Sus scrofa: one gene and its partners. The protein of the gene in region 3 purifies or fractionates together with the protein of the main gene of each other region. This does not show direct contact. Links are inferred from orthologs where the notes say so. Each region holds a gene or a part of one and is shown on either strand. Other genes may lie near its edges.

Evidence for each region.
Region 1: the proteins of PFDN2 (region 3) and VBP1 fractionate together in Homo sapiens (co-fractionation; 8 studies listed by BioGRID and IntAct, counting the BioPlex papers as one, with this or other methods). This does not show direct contact. The link is inferred for Sus scrofa from reciprocal best matches to the Homo sapiens genes PFDN2 and VBP1.
Region 2: the proteins of PFDN2 (region 3) and PFDN1 purify together in Homo sapiens (affinity purification with mass spectrometry; 5 studies listed by BioGRID and IntAct, counting the BioPlex papers as one, with this or other methods). This does not show direct contact. The link is inferred for Sus scrofa from reciprocal best matches to the Homo sapiens genes PFDN2 and PFDN1.
Region 4: the proteins of PFDN2 (region 3) and PFDN4 purify together in Homo sapiens (affinity purification with mass spectrometry; 6 studies listed by BioGRID and IntAct, counting the BioPlex papers as one, with this or other methods). This does not show direct contact. The link is inferred for Sus scrofa from reciprocal best matches to the Homo sapiens genes PFDN2 and PFDN4.
Region 5: the proteins of PFDN2 (region 3) and RPAP2 purify together in Homo sapiens (co-immunoprecipitation; 3 studies listed by BioGRID and IntAct, with this or other methods). This does not show direct contact. The link is inferred for Sus scrofa from reciprocal best matches to the Homo sapiens genes PFDN2 and RPAP2.
Region 6: the proteins of PFDN2 (region 3) and POLR3B purify together in Homo sapiens (affinity purification with mass spectrometry; 3 studies listed by BioGRID and IntAct, with this or other methods). This does not show direct contact. The link is inferred for Sus scrofa from reciprocal best matches to the Homo sapiens genes PFDN2 and POLR3B.

Annotation. Positions count from the first base shown.
Region 1 is NC_010461.5:125,483,532-125,488,922, reverse strand, and holds the start of VBP1 (prefoldin subunit 3), read right to left. Parts: upstream 3,567-5,391; 5' UTR 3,557-3,566; coding exon 3,464-3,556; intron 3,282-3,463; exon of another isoform or gene 3,076-3,281; intron 1-3,075. UniProt on the Homo sapiens protein: Binds specifically to cytosolic chaperonin (c-CPN) and transfers target proteins to it. Binds to nascent polypeptide chain and promotes folding in an environment in which there are many competing pathways for nonnative proteins.
Region 2 is NC_010444.4:142,074,632-142,080,079, reverse strand, and holds the start of PFDN1 (prefoldin subunit 1), read left to right. Parts: upstream 1-2,079; 5' UTR 2,080-2,195; coding exon 2,196-2,228; intron 2,229-5,272; coding exon 5,273-5,439; intron 5,440-5,448. UniProt on the Homo sapiens protein: Binds specifically to cytosolic chaperonin (c-CPN) and transfers target proteins to it. Binds to nascent polypeptide chain and promotes folding in an environment in which there are many competing pathways for nonnative proteins.
Region 3 is NC_010446.5:89,339,094-89,342,926, reverse strand, and holds the end of PFDN2 (prefoldin subunit 2), read right to left. Parts: intron 3,004-3,833; coding exon 2,915-3,003; intron 2,801-2,914; coding exon 2,677-2,800; intron 1,778-2,676; coding exon 1,601-1,777; 3' UTR 1,319-1,600; downstream 1-1,318. Other genes in the region: KLHDC9 (kelch domain-containing protein 9), read left to right, coding at 10-169, 259-457, 993-1,159. UniProt on the Homo sapiens protein: Binds specifically to cytosolic chaperonin (c-CPN) and transfers target proteins to it. Binds to nascent polypeptide chain and promotes folding in an environment in which there are many competing pathways for nonnative proteins.
Region 4 is NC_010459.5:55,153,745-55,158,893, reverse strand, and holds the start of PFDN4 (prefoldin subunit 4), read right to left. Parts: upstream 3,123-5,149; 5' UTR 2,909-3,122; coding exon 2,885-2,908; intron 1-2,884. UniProt on the Homo sapiens protein: Binds specifically to cytosolic chaperonin (c-CPN) and transfers target proteins to it. Binds to nascent polypeptide chain and promotes folding in an environment in which there are many competing pathways for nonnative proteins.
Region 5 is NC_010446.5:124,756,499-124,761,167, forward strand, and holds part of RPAP2 (putative RNA polymerase II subunit B1 CTD phosphatase RPAP2), read right to left. Parts: intron 3,428-4,669; coding exon 3,329-3,427; intron 3,115-3,328; coding exon 3,049-3,114; intron 677-3,048; coding exon 588-676; intron 1-587.
Region 6 is NC_010447.5:13,804,147-13,808,815, reverse strand, and holds the end of POLR3B (DNA-directed RNA polymerase III subunit RPC2), read left to right. Parts: intron 1-3,112; coding exon 3,113-3,242; 3' UTR 3,243-3,659; downstream 3,660-4,669. UniProt on the Homo sapiens protein: Catalytic core component of RNA polymerase III (Pol III), a DNA-dependent RNA polymerase which synthesizes small non-coding RNAs using the four ribonucleoside triphosphates as substrates.

The DNA of each region.
Region 1 (5,391 bases), on a different chromosome or scaffold from region 3:
GCAACCTCATGGTTCCTAGTCAGATTCATTTCTGCTGCGCCACGACGGGAACTTCCTAAGTTTATTTTTAAGACAGAAAAAGAGCCTGTGTTTCTCTTTCTCCAAAAGCTTGCTTTTTAACTAAGAAAGAAGCAGTTATAAAAAGCTAGAGGCCATTTCAGAGAGCGCACATACACTGTGTATATAAGTTATTCCTCTTCCACCTTCCTCTTTTTATTTATATACAAGGAAAGAAAGATGACCTTGTCTGCTTTATGCATCCTCCATGCAGCACTCGCAGCCACAAAAATGACTCGACAGGTTGTATGCCAAAGTTACCAATTTTTTTTTTTTTTGTCTTTTTGCCATTTCTTGGGCCACATCCATGGCATATGGAGGTTCCCAGGCTAGGGGTCCAATCGGAGCTGTAGCCGCCAGCCTACACCACAGCCACAGCCACGCGGGACCCTTAACTCACCGAGCAAGGCCAGGGATCAAACCCGAAACCTCATGGTTGGTTCCCAGTCGGATTCATTAACCACTGAGCCATGACAGGAACTCCCAAAATTACCAATTTTATTACTTAAATTTTTAACTAAACAAGTGCTGCCATAGAAGTCATGCTAAATATGGTCATTGGGTTCCCAAGACAAGCCACAAATGCCTCCTTAAGTATGAAGTGGTTGAAATAAAGTAAACCTAAAGGGCAAACAGAAGGATCTTCTGTTACAGGAATAATTAAGCAAAAGAAAAGCAATAAAACCGAACGGCATTTTTTTTTTCTTTAATGTATTCTACACATGCTGGGTCCTTGAAGAAAAGCTTGTTAATTAGATCAGGATCAGGAATAGGTGAAACTACATGGAAACTTTAAGGAGACTTTATAAGAGGCTTCCAATGGTTTAAAGAACCTTAGTCCTTCACTGTAAGTAAGTTAAATTCAAAAATCTTACAGTTTATGGGATCTCTAAATCATTATTCTTATCCATGCTTACTAGCAATAAGGGAATATTTTAGCCAAAACAAGACAAGAAGAAAAAGGAAGAGAAACACAGCAAGGGAGTGAATTATGAAGCCATCAAGCTAGACACAGTAAAAGAAATTGAAAAGGTGAGGCTGAAGCGATGGCTGAGTCGTGCATGTAAAATGGAGATAGCATCTTCCTAGAAGGACCACTGTAGGAAGAAAGAGACTGAGTGAGGTCGAAGTTTCTAGCACATGTTATTAGGAGGTTAGACTGCAGCAAGAAGAATTAACTACAGCAGCACAGGTTTATGGTTAGAAGACAGGGGCTGCCTGTTTTGAATGCTGGCTTCATCACATACTAGATGTACTGACCTCGGGGAAGTTATTAAACCTTTTGCTTTGTCTCAATTTCCTCATCTGCAAAATGAAAAAGAGGTAACCACCTCACAGGGGATCAAGTGAGTTAGCATGTGTAAAATACCCAGAAGGACATACAACAGCTACTAGTAAGTGTTCAACAAACATTAGCTATGTCTACAGCACAACGTGTGAAGGGAACAGAAGAAAGTGCCAAGAAGTCTGTCTTGGAGTGATGGTCTGCCTTGGAGATAAGGCAATAGAGATACAAACCAAACTAGGGTACTGCGTCCTATCATCACAGAAACTAATATATATTAAGCATCTACTTGCAATACTGAAAGCACATTCTGTTTCTCGTGGAAACTCTCTAAGTATTGTTACCGCCTATTTCAGTTAAAGAAACAGAGGCTCAAAGTTGTAAAATAATACGTTCGAGGCTGAGCAGCAAGTGGGAAGTAGAGGCAGGATTCAAACTCTGGTCTATTTAGAAACCAATGTTCTTTATACTGTGCTGTGCTATTCTAACTACTTTGAGAAAATAAAAATATTTACATAAAATTTGGATTGGTTTTATCATTTGGTAGAAATTTTAAGATCTAGAAAAAATAACCCATAACATTTTAAGGAAAAACGTATAAAGCCCTCAGATAAAGTTTATCCTTGTGAACTAGAGTGCTGAGCCCATGTCTCGCTGAGCACCATCACTGTAGTACTTTAAGGCACTACAGAAATTCAGCATCTGGTTATAAGCTTACACTATGTGTCAGGTACTGTGCCAGGATCAGGGGAAATGACAGTGAGCAAGACAACTACCTCATGTTCCTCCTGGTGGCAGAGCTTGACAGTAAGGAGAGGCTCTAGAGTCCTACAGAGGGCCCAAGTTCAAACCCTGGATAACTCTCTGGCACCCTGCGTGACTTGGGGCAAGTTACTCCAGGGTTCTGTGCCTCAGTTTCATCATCTACAAAATGAGAATAACAGTACCTGCCGCCTAGGGTTTTGTAACAGCATGAGGAAAGTGGCTGGTATTTAAGAAATTGTATCTCTAGTTAACAACTAGGTGGGAAATGAGGGTAAAGAAATAAAACGGCACAGCTCAGGGAGAAAAGACAAAATAAAGAAAACAGTAGAAAACTGAATCGGCACATGCAAATATGCATAGTGTACCTTAAGAGTGGCCTAAATAAAAGAATAAATAAAATAAACGGGTCTTTTGAAGACTCTAAGATATGATTAACAAAAAGGTGGAGGAGATAAGGCAACAGAGGCACAAACCAAAAGGTCGAGAAACTTCCACAGAGATTTCATAGTTGTTCAGCCAGAAGTGAGTGGACAGAGACGGGTTATATTGGTCTGGAAGGGCAGTCAGGTCTTTTCTCATTATTGAAAGAGCTTTCAAATACTATTTCGAGAATTTTACGGAAGCGCAGGAGTGGAAGCGTCTACTTGCTTCTCTTTGTTTGGACTCGGGTTGGTCTCCCCATTCTGCGAAGCCTCCAAAATTGCATTCCCTGCTTCGCCTCTGAACTCCACCCGATTTATTCTCTACTAAGTTATTAGGACGACGTACCTACAAGCAAACAGGCTGTACAGTGGCCTTCTTTAGACACCCGCTGCCCACTGGCTAAAGCCTCCGTGCCTCAGCAGGACACACAAGGGCCTCACGTTCTCACCGACCCCACTTCCCCGCCACTCGGCTCCCCCAAGGCAACAGACCAGGTGCCATTTTCCTACTTCCACACCTTAGCCCCAGCTCTTCTGCCTACTCACTGCATCCTGTCACCATGTGTACACCGCTCCCTCCAGCATCTACGCTGAGTCTCCAGCTCCTCGCCGCCTCCCTTTCTCCAGGCGGCACGGGAGGAAATCCCGCGTGGGGCGGGGAGGAGGGGCTGATGGGGCCGCCCCGCCCCCGCTCCCGAGTCCTCCGGGCCCCACGCCACCTTATCTGCTGGGGCCTCCTCGGACCGCGTTGCCCGAGGGCGGGTCCCAACACAGCACAGGGCGTGCCGGCGCGGAGGTGGGAGAGGACGGAGCACTCTCTCAGGTCCTCCCGCTCAACTCCGTCCCCCAACGATCGAGGCCGGGGTCGGGGCCAGAAAGGAAACGGTCGCCCACCACACAGAGACAAGATACCGAGGACCGGCGTGCCTCTTACCACAAAAACGGCCTCAGGAATCCCTAGGTGGAGCCGCCGCCCGTTCCCTGCAGCCACTTCTCCCAAACCACAACCGTCCTTAGCGTCCGCCATCTTGGGGAAGCGAGCGCGCGACAAACTGCCTCTCGGGCTGCCAGCCGCCGGGGGACTGTGATTGGCCCGCTCACACCCGCAGGCCCGCCCCTCGCGTGTGAGTCTGCGCATTCATTGGCGCACAGGAAGCAGCCGCCCCTCTCCCTTCGGATGAAACTCCCGACCATTGGATGCTGATTGGCTGCGTACAGGTGAGTGACAGGCGCGGAAGGGCAGCTGAGGCGAACCTGGATCTGCAGCAAGGACCAATACCGAGTCCTGGGAAAAGGGGTTCCGGCGGTTTTGGGGGTGGGCGGGCTGGAGGACCCCGATGATCCCGTACCAAGCCGGGACATATCCCACTGCTATCCTAGAACAGGCAGCGCTCTCCAGAATAGCCTTCGCGAGGCGACACGATCCCTTTTGGAATACAAGCAAATCCGGAACCTAGACGTCGCCACTGGGCTTGGGTGTCCTTCTGGTCCCACCATCCTAGCGAGCTTCCTGACCCTTGAAGGGGACTTGCTTTATGCTTGCTTCCACAGGGAGCGGTGGCCTGATTCTAATAAATACCCTGTCCATTGCATCAAAATTTACCAAAAGCCACCTTTGATCAGCCTCTCACCACCCCTGCTCAAACGTTTTCAAAACTTCAGTGTACATGCAAAATCCTAAGAACTCTTCCAATGCTCCTAGGCCCAAGGACTTCCCCAACATCATCCACTGCTGCAACCGTTTGAAAGTAACTGCGTTATACAGGCCCAAGTAATTATTTTTCCATCTGTTTTCTGACATCTAACCACCATGTTTGCTCCTACGTTTGCTTGCACTCGAGTGCTTCACGGGGAAGCGGTGCTTCATCCACTCGTACGAAGCCTACCATAAGCCAGGCCCTTTCTGAATAAAGGATATGTCAGCTCCCTTACTTAGTGGGGACAAACATATAATAATAGCGATGGACATTTATTAAAAATGGCTATGTGCAAGTCACGGGGTCATGTTATTTAAACCCCTAGTTTGTAGACAACTAAAGGGACCCGAACAATCGGTAAGATAATATAATAAATGCTGTAACAGGCACATTTAGGGTAGGAAAGGAGCATTACCTAGGTCATATTTTAAAATGAGAATAACAAGGGTGTACTAACAAGGCTGCTGTAAAGATGAAATGAGATTATGTATGTAGAATACCTAATAAGGATCTTGCCACACAGTAGGGCCGAAGTAGTGAGGGAGGTGGGATGGAGGTTGGGTACGGGGGAGGGGCTGAAGGAAAGGGGAAGGGGGCGGGCAGAGGAGGACTGGGCTAGAGGAAAGAGTGGCGCTGGAAGGGTTTTAAAAAATAGCCGTTGCTGTAGAACTGGCGAGACTGAGGACCTGTGGGACTAGAGCGAAGGTAAGGGGTCGGAGGACCTGAGAGGTGGGCGGGGCAGGAGGAGTGAGGAAAGCGGGCGGGGCTTTGAACTGCGCCAGGGTCCAGACCTAGATGGGACGGAGGGCTTGGAGGACCTTGGAGCAGGGAAGGGAGCGGGACTGGAGGACAGGGAGGGGGCAGGGCTGGAGGCCTGAGGAGAAGGGAGGGGGTGGAGGAGTGGGTGTGTGGGTGGGAGCCTGAGGAGTAAAGAAATTGGGCAAAGCAGGAGGGCCCGTGGGTGGAGGGGCTGAGGACCGGACCGTGGAACAGAGAGGTGGTGGTCGACGGTGGGAGCTTCTAGATACTAGCAACACAACCTTAGAATATGAAATTAAACAATGCCATTAAGTTAAAACACCTGGTACTTGTATAACGAAACATGCTAGTTACTATTAAGAACCCCAAATCGACAGAGAGAAATTAAAGAATTCCTGAAGAAATA
Region 2 (5,448 bases), on a different chromosome or scaffold from region 3:
GAAGCAGAAGGAGCATTAGATAACTTTTGTGGCGATAGATTTATTATCACAATTATGAAGATGGTTTCCTAGATGGGAACTTATCAAATTATACACTTTAATATATTCAGTTTATTATATGCCATTATACCTGAATAAAGATTTTTTTTTTAACAGAGAGTTTCCTGGTGGTCTAGCAGTTAGGATTTAGTGGTTTCATTGATGCAGGGTTTAATCCCTGGTCTGGGAAGTGAGATCCCGCATAAAGCAGCTGCCTGATAACTGTGTGACAAGTAATGTAAACAAAAACAAAAACAATAAAGGAAGAGTTTGCTGGACCTTGAAAGGCAAACACAACAATGCTAACTGCTACTTAATTACAACTATTTATCCAGTATCTACTTGTGCATTGTGTGAAACTTGGAACTTTTCACCTTGATCTTATTCTTTGCCCACATAACACTGTTAGGGTAATATTATTATTCTCTCTCTGTCTCTGTCTCTCTCTCTCTCTTTTTCTTTTTCTTTTCCCCCCAGGGCTGCACCTGCAGCATATGGAAGTTTCCAGGCTGAGAGTTGAGCTGGAGCTGGAGCCGTTGGCCTATGCCACAGCCACAGCAATGCAGGATCTGAGCCTCATCTTTGACCTACACCACAGGTCACAGGCAACACCGGATCCTTAACCCCTTGAACAAAGCCAGGGGTTGAGCCCTAATCCTCATGGATGTGAGTTGGGTACATTGGCACTGAATCATGATGGGAACTCAATAATATTGTTATTTCCATATTAAATAAGGAGACAAACTCTATTGCTACACAGTAAGTAGAACCAGACATATCTAGGCACAAGGTAGACCAAACCTTAGCTACCTTGGAATCTGTCTGGTTCTAAATTACCTGCCCTTTCCTCTCTCTTACAGGTTTTTAGACTAGGCAAAACATCCATTTCTTTCATTTCTAAAAGTCCAATTACCAGCCATCCCTCTGGTTCAAATGCCAGATATTTTACATAAGATTCTCAAAATGTGGTTTGCAGACCACTTGGGGCATTTGCAAAGGTGCAAATTTCTGGGCCCTGATCTCAAAGATTCTAAGTAATTAAGTTTGGGATAAGGACCAGAGAATCTCTGTGTGCGTGTTTAAAATATACATATTTTATTTTATTCATTAATTTTTTTGTCTTTTTGCCTTTTCTAGGGCTGCTCCCTTGGCATATGGAGGTTCCCAGGCTAGGGGTCTAATCGGAGCTGTAGCCACCGGCCTACGCCAGAGCCACAGCAACGCGGGATCCGAGCCACGTCTGCGACCTACATCACAGCTCACGGCAACGACGGATCCTTAACCCATTGAGCAAGGCCAGGGGTCGAACCCGCAACCTCATGGTTCCTAGTCGGATTCGTTTCTGCTGCGCCACGACGGGAACTCCAAAATATATATATTTGAAACAAACTAATTTGGTTTGTGAGAACCACTGTGTCAAGAAGGTCTTCCATGAGTGTTCAGTATAACTAAGTTCTTTGGAGGAACAGTTCGGCTAAGCCTTCCGGTTTTCTCTATATTGGCATGTATGAGGCGTGGGCTGAATTTTCGTTTTTTGTTTTTGTCTTTTTAGGGCCGCAACATATGGAGGTTCCCAGGCTAGGGGTTGAATCAGAGCTGTAGCTGTCGGCCTGCATCAGAGCCACAGCAGCCATCCCAGTCGTGTCTGTGATCTCCACCACAGCTCAGGCAACACCGGATCCTTAACCCTCTGAGCCAGGCCAGGGATCGAACCTGCAACCTCATAGTTCCTAGTCCGATTCGTTTCCTCTGCACCAGGATGCAAACTCCTGGGATTCTTTGTCCTCCCTGACAGCACAGGGACCCTGACTGAAGAGGTTTTGGCCTCATCTACATACATCTCAATTTAGCAGCACAAACTAAGGTATTTGTCAAAAATACTTAAAACCATGCACGAAATCTGCGCGTGGTGCGGTGTCTGGAAGGATGTGGAGAAACAGGCCAAGCCTATAGGTCACGAGAAACATGTGCTTTTAATCGGAATCTAGGGTTCTCTGGGTGGAGGGGGGATTCCTAGCGCTGGAGAGCGGAGGAAACCAAGCAGCTCGGCTCCTGCGCAGGCGTAGAAGGAAAGGGGACGATCCGCCAAGGCGCGCCCTTCCCCCACCCTTCTTTCCGGCCTTCTCCCAGCGCGCAGGCGCAGAGAGGGAATCAAGATGGCGGCTCCCGTGGATCTGGAGTTGAAGAAGGTAAAAGAGGGTTTTGAGCAGGCAGGCTTCTCTTTGGAAGCTAACGGGACCGTAGACAAGAATATCGAGTGAGACCCAAGTCCCGCGGAGGGAAGAAGGTCCCAGGGCATTGGGGAATGCTTTCCCAGAGTCCTTCAGGCGGGACTGGGTCGCCTTAGGCTGGAGTCGGGGCGAGCAGCTCTTTGCTGGAAGAGAGCTGGTAGGGCTGGGGCTGGTTAAGTCTGGCGGGCCGATAGCTGTTTTGAGTCCCTTGTTCCGGGCTCCAGAGCCCTTTCCTTGTTCTTGGAGCCTTCAGTCCTATTGTAAGGCCTGAAGTGAGCGTTTCAAGTTGGAGCCCCTTGAGACAGCTTGCCCGAGCTGAGGCATCCGTAATTCTGCATCCTAATTTGCTTTGACAAACTCCAGGTCCAACCTGTGTTTTTAGGCCACTTCTTCAATCCCGTACCTCTAAGGTCGCGACATACTCTTAAATCAGATATTCTCAGCACTGTTTGGCTCCCTCCCTAGCCCCTCCACCCCTCCCCTTTTAAAGGGTTTGTCAAAAAAGAAGCAAAGTCTAGTGAAAGTTTTCTAAATGGAATCGGTATCAGAAGGAATTGGGTTTCTCCCTTCCCATAGTTGCCTGTAAATGTGTTGTTACTCAGAGACGTTTTTGCCACTTAAAGAATTGTCAGGATTGTGACACCGCTACCAACTCAAAAGCATATCTTTTTTTTTTTTTTTTTTTGAGAGGGGGATGGGTTGGGGATTGGAAAGGATCTTAGACTTCATCTGCTCTAAACTTTTACTTTTCTAGAAATAAAAACAGTTACAGAAAAGACTCAGGCCATGGTTAGGATCAGAATCCAATATTTTCTGCCTTCCCGCCTTTTGGCCATTAGTTTAGGTACTTCAGAAGGGCATCTTGTACTAAAACCATTCCGGTCAACCTTTGTGTCAGACATAGGGCAGGTGAAATAGCTTTTGCACCCAATAAGCAAAGCTGTTTACTATTGCTCTGAGGATTTGTGTATGTCCTTTTTGCCATTTTTGTTTCGAAACTTGTATCTTTAGTCTTTACGTGGTCTCTAATGCTGTCCCATCTTAGCTTTAACAATATACTAGGTTCCTTAGCAAACTGTGTCGTAAAGCATCCTAAAAGCCCCCCTCCTTTTTTTTTTTTTCTGTTCAAATTAAGTCAGGGTTTAGTGAAAGAGCCAACAATAGAGTACAGCTGTGAATGGGTTTACCTCAGTATTATTTGAATTTGTTGCTAGGAAACCTGTGGGCAATGAATGCAAACTAAGAAAATGTTACGGACTTAAATTGATTGCAGACAAATTGATTACAGACTTAAACGATTATAGACTTAAATGAGTACAGACTTGAATTGGGTAGCTTTGACAACCAGTGAAATTAACTCAAAAAAACTTGTTTAAGGATATTCTAATGTCTTTATAATGTCTTTTTTTTTGGTCATTTTTGGCCACCCCACAGCATATGGAGCTCCTAGGCGAGGGATCAGATTGGAGTTACAGCTGCGACCTCAGCTGCAGCTGCAGCAATGCTGGATCCCTAATCCACTGTGCCGGTGGGGTTTGAACCCTCATCCCAGTGGCTCCCAAGACTCCACTGGTCCCGTTGCGCCACAGTGGGAGCTCGGGTCTTTTTTTTTTTTTTTGAGTGGAGACAAGTAGGACATTTTAGGCACCTCCTCTAACTCTAAACAAAATTTTGAAACCTTACTAGTAGGTGAGAACAAAGCCAGAGTAGAAGTTAAATAGCAGCTTTTGCCATGCATTGCAGCCACAAAAATTATTATTCAAGTATTAAGGCATAAATTTGACAGGATGTGAAAGTCATTCTAGGCTCTTCAACAAGAGTACCTAGGAGCTTTTTGAGTTAAGGGTACCCAAGGGTCAGATTTGGCTTGGTGTGTGCCTCTGTCATGATATAATTCTTCTTCCAGTGTTTCAAATATTTTCTTTTTTGTCCTTCTCTTAAAATATGCATTTTCTGAATATTACTATAGACAGCAGAACGGAAAGGTTTTTGAACTAGAAGTCAAGAAATGGACTTAAGAGCTCACTTTTAGACCTCTTAGTTGTTCAACCATGTGCAAGTCATTTATATCTCTTTCAAACATTTAGTTACTTAATTTATAAGCTGTGGTGATGAAACTGCTTGCCCTAACTCAGGATTGTTGAGAAGAGTAAATGAGGTATTTATTATTACATCTATTAGTGTTCTCATATTAATATTTACATATTAATAGTTCAAAAAATGTGGGAAAGTGCTTTGAAAACTAGTTGTAAAATATAAATGTAGTGAGTAGTTACATTTATGGTTCTTGTTTTGGATCTCTGGGTTTCATCCGCTGACTGTTGCATTTAGTGCCTATATTACTCCTTGGGTACCTGCTACTTGATATGTTTATTATTTACCATGTCTTTGTTCTGCTGCTTCAAATAGACAGCATCTTTTGAGGACTGGGTAAATTCAAAACAGTTGACCCTTGAACAACACAGGTTTAAACTGCGGGGATCCAATTGTACATAGATTTTTAAAGGTATTACTACAGTACCACACACTGTGTGATTGGTTGAAATCCAGATGTAGAACCAAGGATACAGAGGAACTGCTATATGGAGGGTCAGCTGTAAATTACACTGGGATTTTTTTTTTTTTTTGGCCATGCCTAAGGCATGTGGAAATTTCTAGCCCAGGGACTAAATGTGCTCCACAGCTATAACCAGAATCACAGCAGTGACAACTCCAGATCCTTAACCTCCTAGCCAGGAGGAAACTCCTGTACTCAGCATTTTGACAACATGGAGAGTCAGTGCCCCTAAGCCTTGAGTTGTTCAAGAGTCAAGAATATTTAGCATAGTGGCTTGATCATTTATAATTATATGAACGTTTATTGATGTTTGCGCAGGTAACAAACATCAAATTTTATAACTTTGTCTCAGCAGGCTTTATTTTAATATGTTTAAATTTGACTTAAATATTTTCTGTAAAATGTTTCACTTACTAAATCAAGGACTTTTTTTTTTTTTTTTAAGGCCTTCACAGAGCTTCAAGCTAAAGTTATTGACACTCAACAGAAGGTGAAGCTTGCAGACATACAGATTGAACAGCTCAACAGGACAAAAAAGCATGCACATCTTACAGATACGGAGATTATGACTTTGGTAGATGAGACCAACATGTATGAAGGTGTAGGAAGAATGTAAGTAAA
Region 3 (3,833 bases):
TATCCACAGCTATAAGGAAGAAGGCTGCCACACAGTCTCACGCTCTGGTCACTGTGCTGCCCTGCTGCGAATTCCTGGGCCCCAGCCAGGTCACCAGCTATTGCTTTTTGGGGGTTGCAACTCAGCTGAACCAGAAGTAGTAGGGCGCTGGAGCCATGGGAAGATTAAGGTATTTATCTACTCACATCTTGCTACCAGTGGAAGGAGACAAAAATTGTGACACTCAAATTCCTCCAAACTGTCCCTTCTCTCTCCAAGGAGGAACCACCCGTTGCACCCTGTTTGATGGAACAGCTTGCAAGGCTCGTGAGCAGGGGGCAGGGGTCCAGGCAGGGGCCTCGAGGACTACGGCATCACTCATGTTCTGTGGTTGGGCCCTTTGCTGTGCTGTTTGGTGGAGAAACTCTGACCAGAGCCAGAGACACCATCTGCAATGACCTCTACATCTATGATACCCGTGAGAGCTAGCTTAATGGTTGAGAAGGGGGAAAGGTGGGAAGACAGGAGAACCTGAAGGCTACAAAAAGAAAGAGGAAAGAGTGACGGGGTAGGAAGGAGGAAGAATTAGTCGACAAGTTAAAGGCACACACAGAATATTAAATTTTTTTTTTTTTTTTTGGTCTTTTCTAGGGCTACACTCGCGGCATATGGAGGTTCCCAGGCTAGGGGTCTCATCGGAGTAGGAGCTGCCAGCCTACGTCAGAGCCACAGCAACACAGGATCTGAGCTGCGTCTGCCACCTACACCACAGCTCACGGCAATGCTGGATCCTTAACCCACTGAGCAAGGCTAGGGATCGAACCCTCAACCTCATGGTTCCTAGTCGGATTTGTTAACCACTGAGCCACAAGGGAACTCCCAGAATATCAAATTTTAAAGAGGCTTACAAATCAAGTAAGGAGAAAAATAACCAAGGCTTTGGTCTTGTCAAAAGCCCCATGAGGGCTAAAGCGCTACTGCCTTAATAACTACCCTCTGCCCTTATCCAACAGGCACGTCTCCTTCTCTATGGTTCCACTTCCCCTGTGCAGACCATGGGCTAAAACGCGTGGGCCATCGGACCTGCCTTTGGAATGATCAGCTCTACCTGGTTGGGGGTTTTGGTGAGGATGGCCAGACAGCTAGTGCACAGGTTTGCATTCTGGACCTTTTTGTCTAAAGAATAGTACCAAGACACACTGCCAACCCTCTGTTTTGTTGCAAACTCATAAAGCATTATCACCAGAGCTATCTGCCTCATTCAAAATGCTTATTAAATTTCAACCTGAGAGTCAACATTTGTCTCTGAATCTTTTTTGGGAGGAGGGCAGTAAATAAGGAGATGCATTTTATTTGCAAGGGAAAGGATAAAATATGGGAACTAATCTGATACTGTGAGCCATTAACCTGCTAGAACCAAAACCACAAGTCATATGCTTGTCTGTCCCATGCAAATTCTGCCCCTAATATTGGGAGAAAGCTTCAGGTGAGAGGTAAGCATTCTGACCAAAACATTTAATTAACAAAAAAATATTACAATAGCAGAGAAAATAATAATAATAATAAAGAGAAATTAGAAGAAGTGGGAATCGGGGTAGAAAAACTGCAAAGGCCTTGGTCCCTAGGAGACCAACACTCCAGCTGAGCTGGCCTTAGCTCCAGCCCCTTCTGAGTTTTCCTTGGATGTTGGCTTCTCATCTTCCCCCATGAGACGAATGTTGTGCTTTTCCCGGAATTCATTTAGTTCTTTTCCCTTTGCCTGAAGCTGCTGTGTCAGTGTCTCGATGATCTTCTGTATCTAGAGGGCAAACAACAGGGATTATATAAGGATTTCAGGACTCCATTCCCTCTTCTGTTATGGACTATGGTTGGGGGAAGTGAAGGAGAGGTGACACCTCTAATCTCACCTTTAACCAAGTATTACTAGTAGAGCCCAGACACTAAAAGTATTCCTTTCTTAAAAACAACAGTTTATAAACTTTAATGTACGTAAGAATCACCTGGGCTGCTATTTTTCCCCCCCCATGGCCTCACCCACAGCATATGGAAGTTGCCAGGCTAGGGGTCAAACCAGAGTTGCGAGCTGCAGCTGCCGGCCTATACCACAGCCACAGCAACGCCAGATCCAAGCCACATCTGCCACCTATGCCACAGCTTGCAGCAACACCGGTCCTTAATCCCCTGAGCAAGGCCAGGGATCAAACCCGCATCCTCACAGATACTAACTGGGTTCTTAACCTACTGAACCACAACAGAAACCCCAAACTCGGAAGCTGCATTTTACATTAGTCCTGTAGGTGATTTGGATGCAGGAATCCATGGACTAAACTGTGAGAAACACCACTCTGACCACCTCCCCTCCCCCTACTCAGCAACTCCTTTGTCTAAGGAGTTAAGACTTGGCATAGCATAATGAGCACAGGCTAATAGCCTATTGTTTTTTCTTTTTTTATTATTATTACTCAATGAATTTATTACATTTATAGTTGTACAATGATCATCACAATCCAGTTTTATAGGATTTCCATCCCACACCCCCAGAGCATCCCTCCACCCCCCAAACTGTAATAGCCTATTTATACTCTCTTCATTATGAGTTCCTACCCAGACTTTCCTCCCCCATGTTCCCTAAATCCCTGGCATCCCCTTCCTTACCCTTTTGTTGCCCAGGGTGTCTATTCAGGGATTCTTGCTCACCTGCTCCTTGTTGTTCTCCAAGGCAGGCAGCACTTCTTTGACAGTCCGCTCTACCAGCACCCCTCCAACCATGCGGTAGCATTTTCGGGTTTCATCTACCTCCTTCAGAGTATCGATCACTAGGCTGAGATAGGAGGACAAGGCAAGATCTGAGGATTCAGTCTCACTCTGCCACAACCCTCTCTTACAAAATGGCCCATCCAACTCTCCTGTTGTTTGCTTCTCCCAGCTTCCTCACCTGTGCTCATTCAATTCCATCTCCAGCTCAGCTGCTTTGGATGCCAGGCCCCGCTGTTCCTGCCGAAGGCGGTTGAAGCCAGCAATTACCTAAAAAGGTGAGAAAGAGATAAAGGCGAGAAAGGGGACAGTGGAAAGGGCACTAGGTCAGTATGTAACATGTGATGGCAAGCTTTACAAAAAACATGTACTAAGCACCTACCTTGTCAAACGAGTAGAACACAGTTTGCAATTTTTAACTTAAATCTGTCTGGAATTCCATTCACCCAACACTACAAGCCTACTCGGGTGAGATATTTGCTATGCCATCTTGCAGTTTACAGTTTGGTGAGAAACAGGCATTTGCTATATCAAAATGGATTGAAGAGATACTGGAGAACCTACAGATAAGCCAAGACTTGCAGGTAAAGACAGCTGTCAGAAAAGGATTGTATGGAGTTCCCACTGTGGCACAATGGGATCTGCAGCATCTTTGCAGCACCAGGACACAGGTTCAATCCCTGGCCCTGCACAGTGGGTCAGAGGATTAAGCATTGCCATAGCTACAGAGCTTCAGGTAGGTGAAACTGGGGCTTGGATTTGATCCCTGGCCCAGGAACTCCATGTGCCTTGGAGCGGCAAAAAAAAGAAAGCCATATGCCACAGGTACAGCCCATAAAATTAAAAAAGGCTTCGTTTAATTAAAAAAAAAAAAGAGTAGCACAGCAGGTTAAAGATCCAGCACTTGTCACTGCAGCTTGGACTGCTGCTATGACCAGAAACTCCACATACCTTGGGCGGGGAACCCCCAAAAAGAAAAGGCTTTGTAATGAGTTAATTCTTCTTTGGGTCTGCCCAGCATCCCTGTCACTGGGGAACTGCCTGCCCCTCCTTAATTCAGGATCCTTGCTCCCTGACCACAGGAGAAGTGACCTATTCTA
Region 4 (5,149 bases), on a different chromosome or scaffold from region 3:
CCTAGATGCAAGGCACTGTGAAGAGAAGTATCCCTGAGGCTGGCACATGAACACTGGCGAGCTTACATCCAGGAGAGGAGGCGGCAAAAAGCCAGGTTGTTTGGTAGATGGTGATAATGCGATGGGGGTGGATGGAAGTTCCTGAGAGCTGGGGAAGGTCGAAGGCGGCTTCCCTGAGAAATCAGACCGTGGCTCCCCTCGTGGCCAAGGACTAGACCTGAGAAAGCAGAACTCTGGAGATGGCCCTGGACCACCTCCACTCCCGAACAGAAAATGTCAGGAGCTGTTGGGAGGTCATGCGTTGTAAGGATAAAGCGCTCCAGGCCGCTAACAATTTTCATCGCCTGCAAAGGGCTACCACCCCCGTGATGTTTCACTCTCAGCCACTGGCGCGCCTCTGCTTTCTTCTGAGATGAGGCAGAGGAAAAGGCCCGTGTGCTAACCCACCGGGCACTGTCCACGACCCCAGGCACCTTTGCAAGATGTTTACGTGCGTCCTACTGAGAAAAGGAGGAAACACTCGTGTGTTTTGGCCGCCACCGACCCCTCTATAAGCTCTTTCACCATCTTGGTGCAACCTCCCCCCGCCGGCTCTCTGTCATTCTGGTCACGCTTTGATTTGATGCACACGGGGCCTCTGTAAGAGGTACTCCCTTTCTAGAATGTCTCACCGCCTTTCCGACCTTCTCTTGCTCTCACGAGATCACACCTTCTCAGGAAAGCCTTCCCTGCTCCCCAAGCAGACCTTACTCCACCCTCTCGCTCGTGCCCTTCTTGCATTGCTCTTCGCTGGACCTGCAACTTGTAGTTCTCTGTGGGACTACTGAGTAACAGCTGCCTCTCCCCAACAGCACAGGTTCTCCAATGCTATGAGAAGATCAGAACTTCATTCCTGCTCACCATTCTCAGCTCCATCACCTAAAACGGAGACAGGGAGTTCCCACTGTGGCTCAGTGGGTTAAGAACCTGACTTGGTTTCCGTGAGGATGTGGGTTTGATCCCTGGCCTCACTTGGTGGATTAAGGATCCGGCACAGACGCAAGCTGCAGTGTAGGCTGCAGATACAGCTCGGATCTGGCATGGCTGTGGCTGTGGCGCTGGCCAGCAGCTACACCTCTGATTTGACCCTAGCCTGGGTGCTTCCATATACCATGGGTGCAGCCGAAAGAAAGGAAGGAAGGAAGAAAGAAAAGACAGAAAGAAAGAAAGAGAAAACTGAGACTGTGTCACAGCACATACTCAAAAAGTTTGTTGAATGACTGAAAAAATGTGGGTGATCAAAAAGTTTGCCATCAGGCCCAGGGTTCAAATCATTCCTCTACCACTTCCTCAAGGTTTACTTCATCTCTCTGGACTTCAGTGTCTACATCTGTCAATTGAGGGTGAACCACAACTAGTATCTTGCACAGACTTAAAGGCTAACAGAGGGGCCAAGTTAAATACAGAATCCAAGCCAAGTGAATCTCACAAGGTCTCACACTGGTTTGAAGCACCTTGGCCCTAAACCCTATCTGGCACTCAATTAAGACTCTGTGGTGGACAGACCAGCAGGGTCAACAACTCATGACTTGGTTTGCCTGGGGCTTCCCCAGTTTTTGCACGCCCCCCCCCCCATCTCAGACAAACTGGGATGGACTGGTCACCCTACACCGAGATCAGGCGGCTTAGATTACGAGGTGCTGTGAAGCACAAAAGCCATGGAAGCACGTTCCCACGTGGTCTTACAGAGGAACGAAAGGAAACACACCCAAAACCTACAAAGTAAATCCCTTCAGCCAGGGGCCTCCCAGCAGACACTAGGGAAGCTGAAAACACAGGCTCTGGAGGCAGAACGCCCATGTTTATTTACTCAAATCCTAACTTGCCTCTTGAACTTCCTCACCTGTAACATAAGGATTAAAAACAGCATCGCCCTAAGAGGAGCGTGAGACTAGAATAAATAATGCACTGCAATGTGCTTAGTGCCCTGCACAGAAACACCAGATGCTATTTCCGGACTCTCTCCATTCCATTTTCCTTTTCTCTAGACAGCTCTAAGCATCTGGGTGGACTGACCTGTGTTCAGGAGTTCTGCTTGCTTAGTAGAATAAAAGGTGGGCTTTGGGAAAAACACAATCGAACCTGAATTTGCACCCCAGCTCTGCTTATTAGCTGAGTCACACTGAAGTCACTAACTGCTCTGTGTCTTAAGTTTCTCCAGCTGTAAGATGGGAAGAAAACGTGCCCTTGCTAAATTGCTGGAAGGATCAGAAATAGTCAACCGATGGCTTCTGGGCCGCCGGCCGCTCTTCCATACACTTGTTTTAGTCTGGAGGCGCAGGAGCATCGAGCGTGGAGGTCGGTGGCTCAGGCGCCCTGGGCCAGTGATCCCGGGGATGCGGGGTCCTGCCCTGCTTCTTACGGCTGTGTGACCTTGGGCAGGTGACTCCACCTCTCTGGGCCTCAGCATCGTTGCTTCCAAAGGAGGGTACCAGTAGCACCCATCCTTGGGAACTTGTGAGGGTTAAACGCGATAACCCAGGTACAGCGCCCAGCGTTACGGCCAACCGCAGTCCATCGGACCCTTCGGCTTCCCACACCGCGAGGACAAGGCCTGGGGGGCGGGAGCCCCAGACTCTCCAGGGCCATCCTCAGCACCGCCAGAGGCGGCCCGGAGTCCTCCAAGGGTCCGATCCCGGGCCACCTCGGCCCGGGACCCAAAAGCACCCCTGGGCGCCGGGCGCGGGCAGGCCTCGCCCGGGAGCCGCCCTGAGGGTCGGGAGCCTCGGCCCCGGGCCCCACGCCGTGCTTCAGAGCTGCGCACCCCCAGCACTCCGGGGCCAGCACCCCGCGGCCGAGCCCCGCCGGCCGGCCGAGCATCCCGCACCCCGAGCGCCCCACTCACCGCCTTCTTCATGGTGGCCGCCATCTTGGGACTGGACTACGGCGCGAGGCGGGGAGGGTCCGTCAAGGTGCGCCTCGGCCCCGCGCCCTCCCTCGCTCCCCGTCGGCCCAGGGCTCCCGCCAAATACAACGCGTTCTCTACATTCCTCCGACTGGGTCTCAGATCAGTGATTCCTAAGGTCTGGGACTTGGGGAGGACATGTAACCTGGAAATACTTGGTACATGCCAATTAAAGGGAAGGGCGACTCCCTGTGGGCCGACAGAAACTGGGGGGGTGTGGCGAGCGGCCGCAGCTCCAGCAGCCGGCAGCAGGGGGCGCCGAGCAAGGCGCGGCAGCGAGTGGAAAAAAGGGAAGTTCCTTTCCTTCAACTCCACAAGCCTTACAAGAAATCCACCTCCCTAAAAAAGCTAAGAACGAATGACCTTGCTAAAGACATATCCTTGCTCAGATAATTCAGATGGTACAAAGAAGGAAGTACTCCTAGTAGTTATTTAACAGCATTATTCAGCAATTACTGTGTATTCTAACGTGTGCTACCCAATTCTTAATTGTTGTTTTTTTTTTTTTCCTCAGGATCCCTCTACACTCTTAAAAATTTTTGAGGATCCCGCAAAGAACCCCTTTCCTATATTCATCGATATTTATCATGTTAGAAATTAAAACAGAATTTCAATGCCTTTATTAGTTTAAAATAATAAAAATCCTTTCCACATTAGTGTAAGGGACATTTTTAAATGACCATATTTTCCAAGGGGGCTGGGAATTGAGAAGGGCATAGTTTTACATTTTTGCAAATCTCTCTAATGTTTGGCCTAATGGAAGCTTAGATGCTCACAACTTCTGCATCCAATCTCTTGCAATATGTCGTTTAATTGACATAGATGAAGAAAATCTGATCTCGCAGATATGTAGTTAGAGAAGGGAGGCCCTCAGAGTCCGTGAAGAAATCTCCAGGACCGTAGGGGTTTGAGAATTGTTCTAGACAAGTCTCCTTTCTCAAAGTCCCAATTCTGTCTTTGGGATGTGGGGCTAACAGGGCCATATAGCACCCTCTGCCCTCCCTACCAAAGCACTTAGCCCCACGCGGCGGTGCTGCCTGTTCTGTCAGGGTGCCAGCTCCAGACTCCAAGCCCTTTGCATGAGGCCTTCCCTGTGCCCAGCTCCCAGGAGCTCAATATGTATTTGTTGAATGAAGACCTTTTTTCAGGATTAAATCTTTTCACAGGATCTGGTCCATATTGGGAGCTCCATCAATGACCCTCATTCATTTAAAAGCTCACAAACTAGCAAAATTTAAAGGCCCTGCAGAGGGAGTGAAGGGGAAACAGAACAAATAAGTGAAAATCATTATGAATGGTGCCAAGTGCATGAAGGGGGAAATAAATGAGGTGCTGAGACAGAGAGGCGCAGAAGTTGGTGGCCCGGAGGGGCTCTTTGGAAATGCTGGCTGGGGAGGGGGAAGGAGAGGAAAGGAGGGGTCTCTGAAGCCAGAAGAGGGGGCCTGGGCTGGACCAGCAGCTCGAAAAGGCTGTCTTCCTAAGTTCAGGCTTCTATACTCCTATGGTCAGGGGAGGACGGTCTGCCTAGTTCACAGCCTTCTTCCTGGGTCCTCATGTGGAGGAGAGGTCAGGGAGCTCTCTGGTGTCCTCCCCCCCTTTCCTTTTGCTCTCGATTTGCCGAAGTTCCGGCCAGGCATCCAACCCACGCCACAGCTGCAACCAGAGCCACAACGGTGACAATGCTGGATCCTTAACCTGCTGAGCCACCAGGGAACTCCTCTGGTGTCTCTTTTATAAAAGCACTAATCTCTTTCTTGAAAGCTCCGCCTTCCTGACTAGGCACCTCCCACACACCCCACTTCCTAGTACAGCCCAGGGGATTGTAGGATTCCAAGGTCTGAATTTGGGGGCCAGAGTGGGACACAAACTTGCAGACCACAGCAGATGTTATGGCTCCAGGCTGAATCTTCTGTCAGTCCTCGGCTTTCCCGTGGTCCTTACAAGACAGCTATTACTTCCTCAGGCATCACCTTGTCATCCTCGAGGTGCAAAGGCAGAGAGAGGAGGGGCCCCTTTTCTCTTACCTCCCCACTTCCGCATCACAACTCATTGTCTCCATCTCTCTCTCTCTCTCTCTTGCTTTCTCCCTCTCTCAAGGACCACATTTCCCAGAACCTCCCAATCCCCTGGCCTTTAGGTCACCTCGCAGCCGCCTCGATCACCCGCCTCAATCATTGGCTAGAGCCACAGCATTGGTGATTACAT
Region 5 (4,669 bases), about 35 Mb from region 3:
GGACGCTGGTTGGGTTCGCTAACTGCTGACCCACGACGGGAACTCCAAATGTTATATTTAAACTTTTCTCAAGAGGTAAAATCCCAAGAACGTCTATAAACTTTTCTGCTAAAAATGACTCTTTAAATTGGCTTTCTTTAAATTTATAAAATATTACAGTAATTTTTAGTAAAGACTAAGTGAATTAGTAACCTGAACTTTTTAACCTTACTATATAGTTTCCTGACAACACAGTGAGTTAGGCTGCTTCCCAAAATCCAGTATCTTCTGGAAAAATTTAAAATTCTTACCCCAGGATTATTACATTAATAGGATTAATAGAAATAGCCACCACAGCAGAAAGCAAAGTTCAGATTTTGTGCTTAAAGCTAAAATAGCAAACAACTAACATTTCTGTAAGTTAATTTTCTGATTTTAAGTGTAAAATCCTTAATAGTTCTGCTTGAGATACAACCATTTCCCCACAACTAAAATGTATACAGTAAATGCATCCCAAAGAAAATCAGACCTGTTCTCTACATATCTCAAAAGGCAGAAAGAAATTATTAGAATACATGAATAAACGTATATGGAATGATTTAAATTACCTTTCTTCTTCTCGAACCCACACTGGAGTTTTAGGAATTTGTGCTTGGAAAAGCTTAGATGCTTTATAACAAAAATTGCTGCAAAAACACTGAAAAGAACATTTAAAAACCAGCAAATTATTTTTCTTATTGTGAAACACACCTTACATGCACAAGAGAATATAAAATATAAATATGTAGTTCAGAGAAAAAAAAACGAAATCCACTGAATCTCCCAGCCAGGGTAAGAAGGAAAGTAGAGAACCTTGCAGGCTTCTACGTGTCCCTCCCTGATGGCATCTCTCTCCGAGTTCCCCAGAGGCAACCACTATCATCACGGGTTCTGCGTTACTCCTTTGCTTTCCTTCAGTTTTGCTACCCACATACATTTCCTATAAAATACATCATTCAGTTCTGCTTACCTTTAAACTTTGTCTACATGGAACCATATAGTTACATATTCCTAGAGTCCTCTCTTCCATGTTATGTTTTTGAGATTCATTTGTGTAGGTATAGTTTATTCATTTATACAGTGTATTATATGTCAATGCCTAAGTATTCCACCCTTTAGTTACTGTTTTTTTTTTTTTTTTTTTTTTGCTATTTCTTGGGCCGCTCCCGCGGCATATGGAGGTTCCCAGGCTAGGGGTCCAATCGGAGCTGTACCCACCGGCCTACACCAGAGCCACAGCAACATGGGATCCGAGCCGTGTCTGCGACCTACACCACAGCTCACGGCAACGCCGGATCGTCAACCCACTGAGCAAGAGCAGGGACCGAACCGTCAACCTCATGGTTCCTAGTCGGATTCGTTAACCACTGCGCCACGAAGGGAACTCCCCTTTAGTTACTGTTAAGGCTGAGTTTTAACTTTTAGTTATCATTACAATGTTACTATGAACCTTTTTTTAATTATAATTTTTTAAATTAAAAACCGTGGTATAATACACAAAATTTATCATCGAAGCATTTTTACCTGTACAATTCAGAGGCATTAAGTGCTTTCTTACTGTTGTGCAACTGTCACCATCATCCATCTCCAGAACTCTCTTCATCTTGCAAGAGTGAAACTCTATACATATTAAACAATAACTCCCCATTTTCACCTCCCCGACTGACAAACACAAGTCTACTGTCTGTCTCTACAAATTTGACTACACATTACCTCATATAAGTAGAATCGTATAGTATTTTGTCTTTTGTGCTGCCTTCTCTTACTTAGCATAATGTTTTCAGATCATTCAGTTGCAGCTTGTGCCCAAATTTCCTTCCCTTTTAAGACCATGTAACAGTCCGTGCTATGTGTGTACATATTTTGCTCACCCTACGAGGAACACTCACACCCTCCCCACTATGTACGTATAGGTTAGTGCACACGGACAAGGGTGGACACAGAAGAAGAGGAGAATGGCCACAAAGACCGTGTAAACTTGACCACCTATTTGACTCTGCCAAGCTGCTTCTCAAAAAGATTGTACCAATTCTTATTGGACCAGAGTATAAAGAGTTACTAATATCGTCAGATTTCTAAAATTTTGCTACTTTAGGGGCTGCAAAAATGTAACTCAGTGTGTTTTTATTTGCTGTTTTCCTAACTACTGATGAGGCTGGAGCATCCTTCATATATTCATGAACCATTCAGATTCCTTCCATAAAAATTTTTTAATCAAGTTTTTTACCTTTTTTTATAGATGATGTGTTCTAGTTATGAATCTGTGGGCAGTTATATGTGAGAAGTATAACTCCTGATTTGTAGCTTACCTTTTCACTCTTTTTTAGAAACTTCTAATAAGCAAACATTTTCAATTGTTTCTAGTCTATGGTCTATAATTTTCTATTTATTTAAGAAATTCTCTCTAGTTGAAGTTGATAAAGATATTCTCCCATAATGTCTTTGAGAAGGTTTGTCTTTTACATTTGGGTTCTTAATCTACCTAAAAGTGAGCTTGTTATATACACAGAGATAGAGTTTTCACTTTTTTGGAATGGATAATTGTGCCACTACTATGTATTTAAAAATCCATCCTTGGGCACAGTCTTTAAGGCATTACATTAGCCTGCTGTGGCCCCCTTCACCTGGTAAAGCAATAAAGCTACCTTTTTCTCCTTCACCCCCAAAAATAAAAAAATTAAAAATTCATCCTCTCTCCACTGATCTAAAATACTCCTGATGTCATATACCCAGTGTCCATGTAAGGAGTGCCTCTGTTTCTGGCCCTCTGTTCTGTTCTATGATTCACTTGCCTGAATTTGTGCCAATATGCACCTTTAATTTTTAAAGGTCTGTATATCAACTAAAGTGTAAGCAAAGAGTTTTCTTCTTTTTTTTTTTTTTTAACATTTTGAATGAAATTATTTACAAATGAAAAACTCTTAATATGGCTATTTTCTACAAGGCGAAAATTTAAAGGCCTATTTTTAGAATCCCATTTAGTGTAATATTATATATCCACTGCCACATTGAAAATGCCTTTAAACTTACCTTTCTTTCAGTAATATCATAGACTTTATTGGTTCTGGTAGAAATTTTGTATTTCTGTTTTGGTACCTAAAGAAAAGAAAATACAGCTTACAAAAAAATTCAAGTAATAAACATGAACTTCATAGTTACCAAGATTAAGTCATCTATGGAGCATATCTTAGGCTAACCCATGTCATTCGTTCATGACCTCAGTTTCATTTATTACTCTTTCTACACAATTTTTTTTGCTAAATATAAAAATTAATAGTCTACATCTTAAAAAAAAAAAGTAGTTACTTACAATTCCTAGCTTCTTCTGACATAAGGGATAGCCGCAGAGTTTGATAATAGCACGCTCGTCCACGACGTCACTGTAGTGAGCAGGTGTGATGAACTTCCCCTGCAGTGAAATGATATGGACATTTCCCATCAGATGACTGGAAAAATTTATCAGCTCTCTAAGCCTCGTCAGTCTCATCTGAAAACACAGGGATCAGAACAGTACCTATCTCACAGGTGTGATGTTAGAAACAGAGGAGAAAATAAAGGAAAAGCACTCAGAAAAGTGCTTCTCAACACACAGTAAATACTCAAAAAATGTTAGTTAGCTATTATTTAAAAAAACTCACAAACCCCCCCCAAATTTCTGCTATGCATCTTTGTAGATTATAAAATTCATGAAATAATTCTGAGGCAGGAGGAAAAAGTAATCTATAGTGATTGCTATAACAAAGGAAAATACTGATAGTGTATTTTATTTCAAAAAAAGCATTACTCAGGAGATCCCATTGTGGCTCGGTGGTAATGAACCTGACCAGTACCCATGAGGATATGGGTTCAATCCCTGGCCTGGCTCAGTGGGTTAAAGGATCTGGTGACGTTGTGAGTTGTTGTGTAGGTCACAGATGCAGCTTGCATCTGGCATTGCTTGACTATGGCATAGGCCAGCAGCTACAGCTCTGATTCGACCCCTAGCCTGGGAACCACCATATGCCACAGGTGCAGCCCTAAAAAGACCAAAAAAGTATTACTCAAAAATAAACCAAATAAAATAAGATATAACTTCAACTTTTTTCTTTTTTTTTTTTTTCTTTGTCTTTTCTAGGGCTGCACCTGCGGCATATGGAGGTTCCCAGGCTAGGAGCCTAATCGGAGCTACAGCTGCCAGCCTAAGCCAGAGCCACAGCAATGCCAGATCTGAGCCACATCTGCTACCTACACCACAACTCAAGGCAACACCGGATCCCTTAACCCACTGAGCGAGACCAGGGATCGAACCCGAAACCTCATGGCTCCTAGTCGGATTTGTTAACCACTGAGCCATGATGGAAACTCCCTATTTTTTTTTTTTTTCCTTTTCACAGCCACACCTGAGGCATATGGTAATTCTCAGGCTAGGGGTCCAGTTGAGCCGCAGCTGCAGGCCTATGCCACAGCCACAGCAAACTGGATCCGAACCACACCTGTGACCTACACTGCAGGTCCTTAACCTGCAGCAACACCGGATCCTTAACCCACTGAGCGAGGCCAGGGATCAAATCTGCATCCTCGCAATCACTATGTTGGGTTCACTGAGCACAATGGGAACTCCCTCCACTTCACCTGATTTTTAAAGCACAATCTTAAAAACAAAGTATACCAA
Region 6 (4,669 bases), on a different chromosome or scaffold from region 3:
GCATTGCTATGGGGATGTTTACAGCAAGACTGTTGTTCTGCAGAAGACACGGAGGGCATAAGTCACAAAAGAGAGGTCCAGAAAGAAAACTGCAGAGAAAAGAAAATCCCTATTAAGATAATTAGCTCGTAGAGGATATTTTACTGGACAGCCATTCCTCATGTGAAGCTACAGCCTCCTCCTTTTGCTGCCTTTGCCCTAAAAAAAACAGTTTATTTTATCGTTGTTTAGGTCAGGTTTCTTCCTTTGGAAACCTTTCAGACATAGGGTAAACATTTGTATATTTTTATTTATGTACATTTATTTATGCCTATATGTGTACATAGCATTGGAACATCTTAAAGGATGGAGAAATATTTAATAACAGAGAATATTGATGGGCTTTCTGGATTATGAATCAGCACATATGGAAATTTTGAATAGATTAGCTTGGACTGAAGTCACAAGATAATGCACGGGACAGAAGAGTCAGTGAGAAGGTCCCCCGGTTAAATCCTTTTCTCCAATTTAATTAAAGCATGGAATCAATGCAGACACATTAAAAACATAGTTGTTAAACTATAATGCATTAAAGGGTCTTTAGGTGATCTTTTAGGAAAAGGCATCCACCGCATTCCTATTATTTCTATTGATGAACTCTGTTCTCTGCAGTGCTCGTTAGGGCCTCTGCAAGTCCCCTCAGGGGGACCCAAGCAAGGGACCATCATGGCTCATCCTTTTTCCATTCTCTTCTCCTCTAGAGGCTCATATCTACATAGCCACCCATCACCACATTCAGATTCTCAGCCTTAGTGCTTTTCTTTTCTAAAATAATAAGGCTTTATTTTACTGAGTGCAAAAAATGATCTCTGCTCTTTGTAAAATATTCATAGTTACAGAAATATGAAGAAAAATATAAAGAAAAATACAAATGTTCACATTAATTCCTACTACCCACCAACGACCACTCTTAACGTTTTAGTGACTCACTTGGGGACCTGTCTGTGTGCCAGTAGCTCTGGACCCTCTTTTGTTTTAAATCCCAAACTCTTTTTTTTTTTTTTTTTTTTTTTGTCTTTTTGCCCTTTCTAGGGCCCCTTCCCACGGCATATGGAGGTTCCCAGGCTAGGGGTCTAATGGGAGCTGTAGCCCCCTGCCTACGCCAGAGCCACAGCAACGTCGGATCCAAGCCACATCTGTGACCTACACCACAGCTCACGGCAACACCAGATCCTTAACCCACTGAGCAAGGCTGGGGATCGAACCCGCAACCTCATGGTTCCTAGTCGGAATCGTTAACCACTGCACCACGACGGGAACTCCTAAATCCCGAACTCTTTTGAGATTCTGATACTTGCAGAAAAATAAAAATATATAATCACACAAAATCTTGTTATATGTGATTTTGAGACCTTCATATATGTACTGAAACCCGTCCGAGGGCCCCCTTGTGCTCGTGCGGTTTAGCAGCCTGGTTTTTCTCCTTCACAGTGTGCCCCGAACACCATTACGTTTCAATCATATGGGTCTGCATCATCGCGTTTAATGTTTGCTCCGTATTCTTCTGTATACGTGTCCTGTAATCACAGCCCCAAGTGCTTACTGGACATGTGAGTCGTCTCCTATTTTATGCTGTCATAAATGGTGAGGCTGTGAACATTCTTGTGCACATATTTTGCCACTGTTAGGATTACGCAATGAAATAACAGGCACATCTATGTTTTATACCTGACTGTCTCACTGCCCTCCAGAAAGGCCTTTACCATTCTTTAAGGACCCTCCCTCCAGTTCCCAGTCAGCACTGACTTTTCGGATCCCTGGCTACTGTTTTGTACTCACCCCCACCGCCCCACCTAGTAACTGGGAGGACCTAGTTTTCAACCTATTAAGTCCCAAGATTTATACTGGGAACCTATTGTCCCAGATGCCCGACGTATAGGGTGAAGTCCTCTTTTTGGTCTGAAACCTGAGAGAATAATTCACTTTCTCCCCAGGAGCCCTTTTTTAGTTGTAGCCATTGATAAGACCTAGGTTCCATTCACTGGCTCTTCCTGAAGGAAGAGGAAAGAAAATCCTAATTGGAAGAGCAGGCACATTGAAGAGGAGCATATGCTGTTGCAAGGGTTAAATGGGACTCTGTGTACGCACGCACACAGGTTCTTTAGTTCTGCACAAGGTCAGCGCATCATAAGTACCGCTGCTTCTAGTACTAATAGAAATAACCGAGCTTGGAGTTCCCGTCGTGGCGCAGCGGAAATGAATCTGACTAGGAACCATGAGGTTGCGGGTTGGATCCCTGGCCTTGCTCAGTAGGTCAAGGATCCAGCATTGCCATGAGCTGTGGTGTAAGGTCACAGATGTGGCTCGGATCTGGCATTGCTGTGGCTGTGGCGTAGGCCAGCAGCTGTAGCCCCAATTAGACCCCTATACTGGGAACCTCCACATGCCACGGGTGTGGCCCTAAAAAGCAAAAAAATAAAATAAATAAAAAATAAATAAAAATAGAGATAAGCGAGCTTGAAGAGCACTGGAAAAATAAGTTGCATTTGATTGGGCGTCACTTTCTATATGAAAGTCTTATCTTTCCCATCACACTTCAAGTATTTCAGTGATAGAAATTAATTTGAGTATCTTGCCTAGAATAGTATAGTGTCATAGATGCTTTTCAAACAAGATCTGGCGTGTTCAGGGTACTGTGGCTATAGACCATAGATGCTTTTCCAATACATGGAGATGAATCAGTTTAAAGCACTTTCAACAATGAAAAAGTCTAAATATGAGTAACTTTTAGATGGTTCAGATTTCTGGGCTTCATTTAGAATAAGTAGACAGACAGCTATTTTGCATTTGAAGGAGAAAGGTCTAGAAATAAGAAAGTAACTGATTAAAATTCTGTGCTTTTAAAACTGGGGAAGCCATGTTTGTTTTGTTTTCTTTTGCTTCCTCGGATGCTGCTGTTTATTTTGGGGGCACATACGTACATATTTGATAGTATGACCGAACACTGAGGAATGGAAAGCTAATGAACTTGAAGGAACAGTAGTAGATTTTTATAGAGCACATCCTCACTTCCTGCATGCCGGCCTCCGATTCTGAGTTGCTGTCCCTCTAACACAACTGACTTGGGTTTCAGGTGCCATTACTGCAAGTCGTCGTGCCACGTGTCCTCCCTCCGCATCCCGTACGCCTGCAAGCTGCTCTTCCAGGAGCTGCAGTCGATGAACATTATCCCCAGGTTAAAACTGTCCAAATACAATGAGTAAGGATGGAGGAGACGGTTATTGAAAGAGAACGGTCGATACGCCCAGTGCAGTGGGAAGCAAAAGGGGTGAGGACCGATTCTGCTCCTATGCATCATTCCTTCCACTGCTCGCGCTCTCAAACAAACAAACAAAAGCACCCAAGGAAATTGATGGAGAGGCTTTTCACACCGTGGAAGACCGGCCGAACAGCCTCGAGCTACGAGCCTCGGGCCAAGGGAGAGGGACCAACCATACTGACTGTTGTGAAGTCTCTCGTCCATATATTGGAGGTGATTCACAAGTGGCTGGGACTGCAAAGATAAATAAACTTTTATTTATGGTCTGGTATCTTGAAATGTTCTCGTTCAAAAGACCTTCCCCCTCTAAAAGGATATTTGGGGTTAAATAAAACTCAAGATTCTGATGAAAGGACGTGAAGAATCTGTTTGAGTTGGTTGATTCAGCCTTTGTCCCAGAGGCTGATCTGAGCAGTATTTGAAGGAAGGACAACTTCAGGAAGCTGGCAGAGGGGCTGATAAGCAGGGCTTTCTTATCCAGTACATGAGGGGATAAATTTTCCCAACAACTGGATCTTGCCTTTTAACACCCAGCTTTTTAAATCTAATCTTGGCAAAGATAATAAATGTCTTCCTCCCATCTTAAGCAAATTTACTAAGGATGTCGCCTTTTCATAAGGACTAATTGCTGCTCTTCTGAACCTCTGTGGTCACACTGTGCAGGAATATTTGCTGACTATCTGAAAATAATAATCCATGGAGCTTTGAGTGACTGTGAGGCTAGGAGATAGGGGTCAGGAGGACATCGGATCTCACTGTTCTCCCAGCCCTTCAACCCTCCCCCAAAGCCCCTCGGTAAAATGGATTGATACCCCACCAAAAAAAAAAAAAATCCATGGATGCTTTATATGTTTTCCATCCCTTCTTTCCCTGCCAGGATGTTAGCTGCCCATTTTGTTTTGAATCTGCCAGCCCTCTTCATCCATTTCTAAGTTGGTCTGAATTGCTCTGCTCTAAAGCCTGATGAATATTTGTGTTAGGGATTGTTTATGAGGCAGAAAAGCTTTGAGTGGTGTGGTCGAAGGCTGCCTTCCCGGCATGTTACAGTGAACATGTCCCACAGAATATTAATAGGTATCATACACTGACAAGAAGCAAGGTACAGTGTCAAATCAGGCTGAGAAACCGGGTATATACAAGTTAAGCATACCAAGGACTTTGTCAAAGCCTTCACCAAGCTGCTGTGTGCCGGGGACTCTCCTACAGAGGGAGCCAGGCCGGTCACCCGTGTGAGAACCCAACCACGGTCTCGCTCAGGCGTGCAAGTCCTCGAGAGGACACGGTGCAGGTGAGCAGGCCTTCCCCCGCCGCCTCCACGTACCCGCATTCCCTTCAGGGACGTGACAGGCATCACCAAGGCAGAGGGGGTCG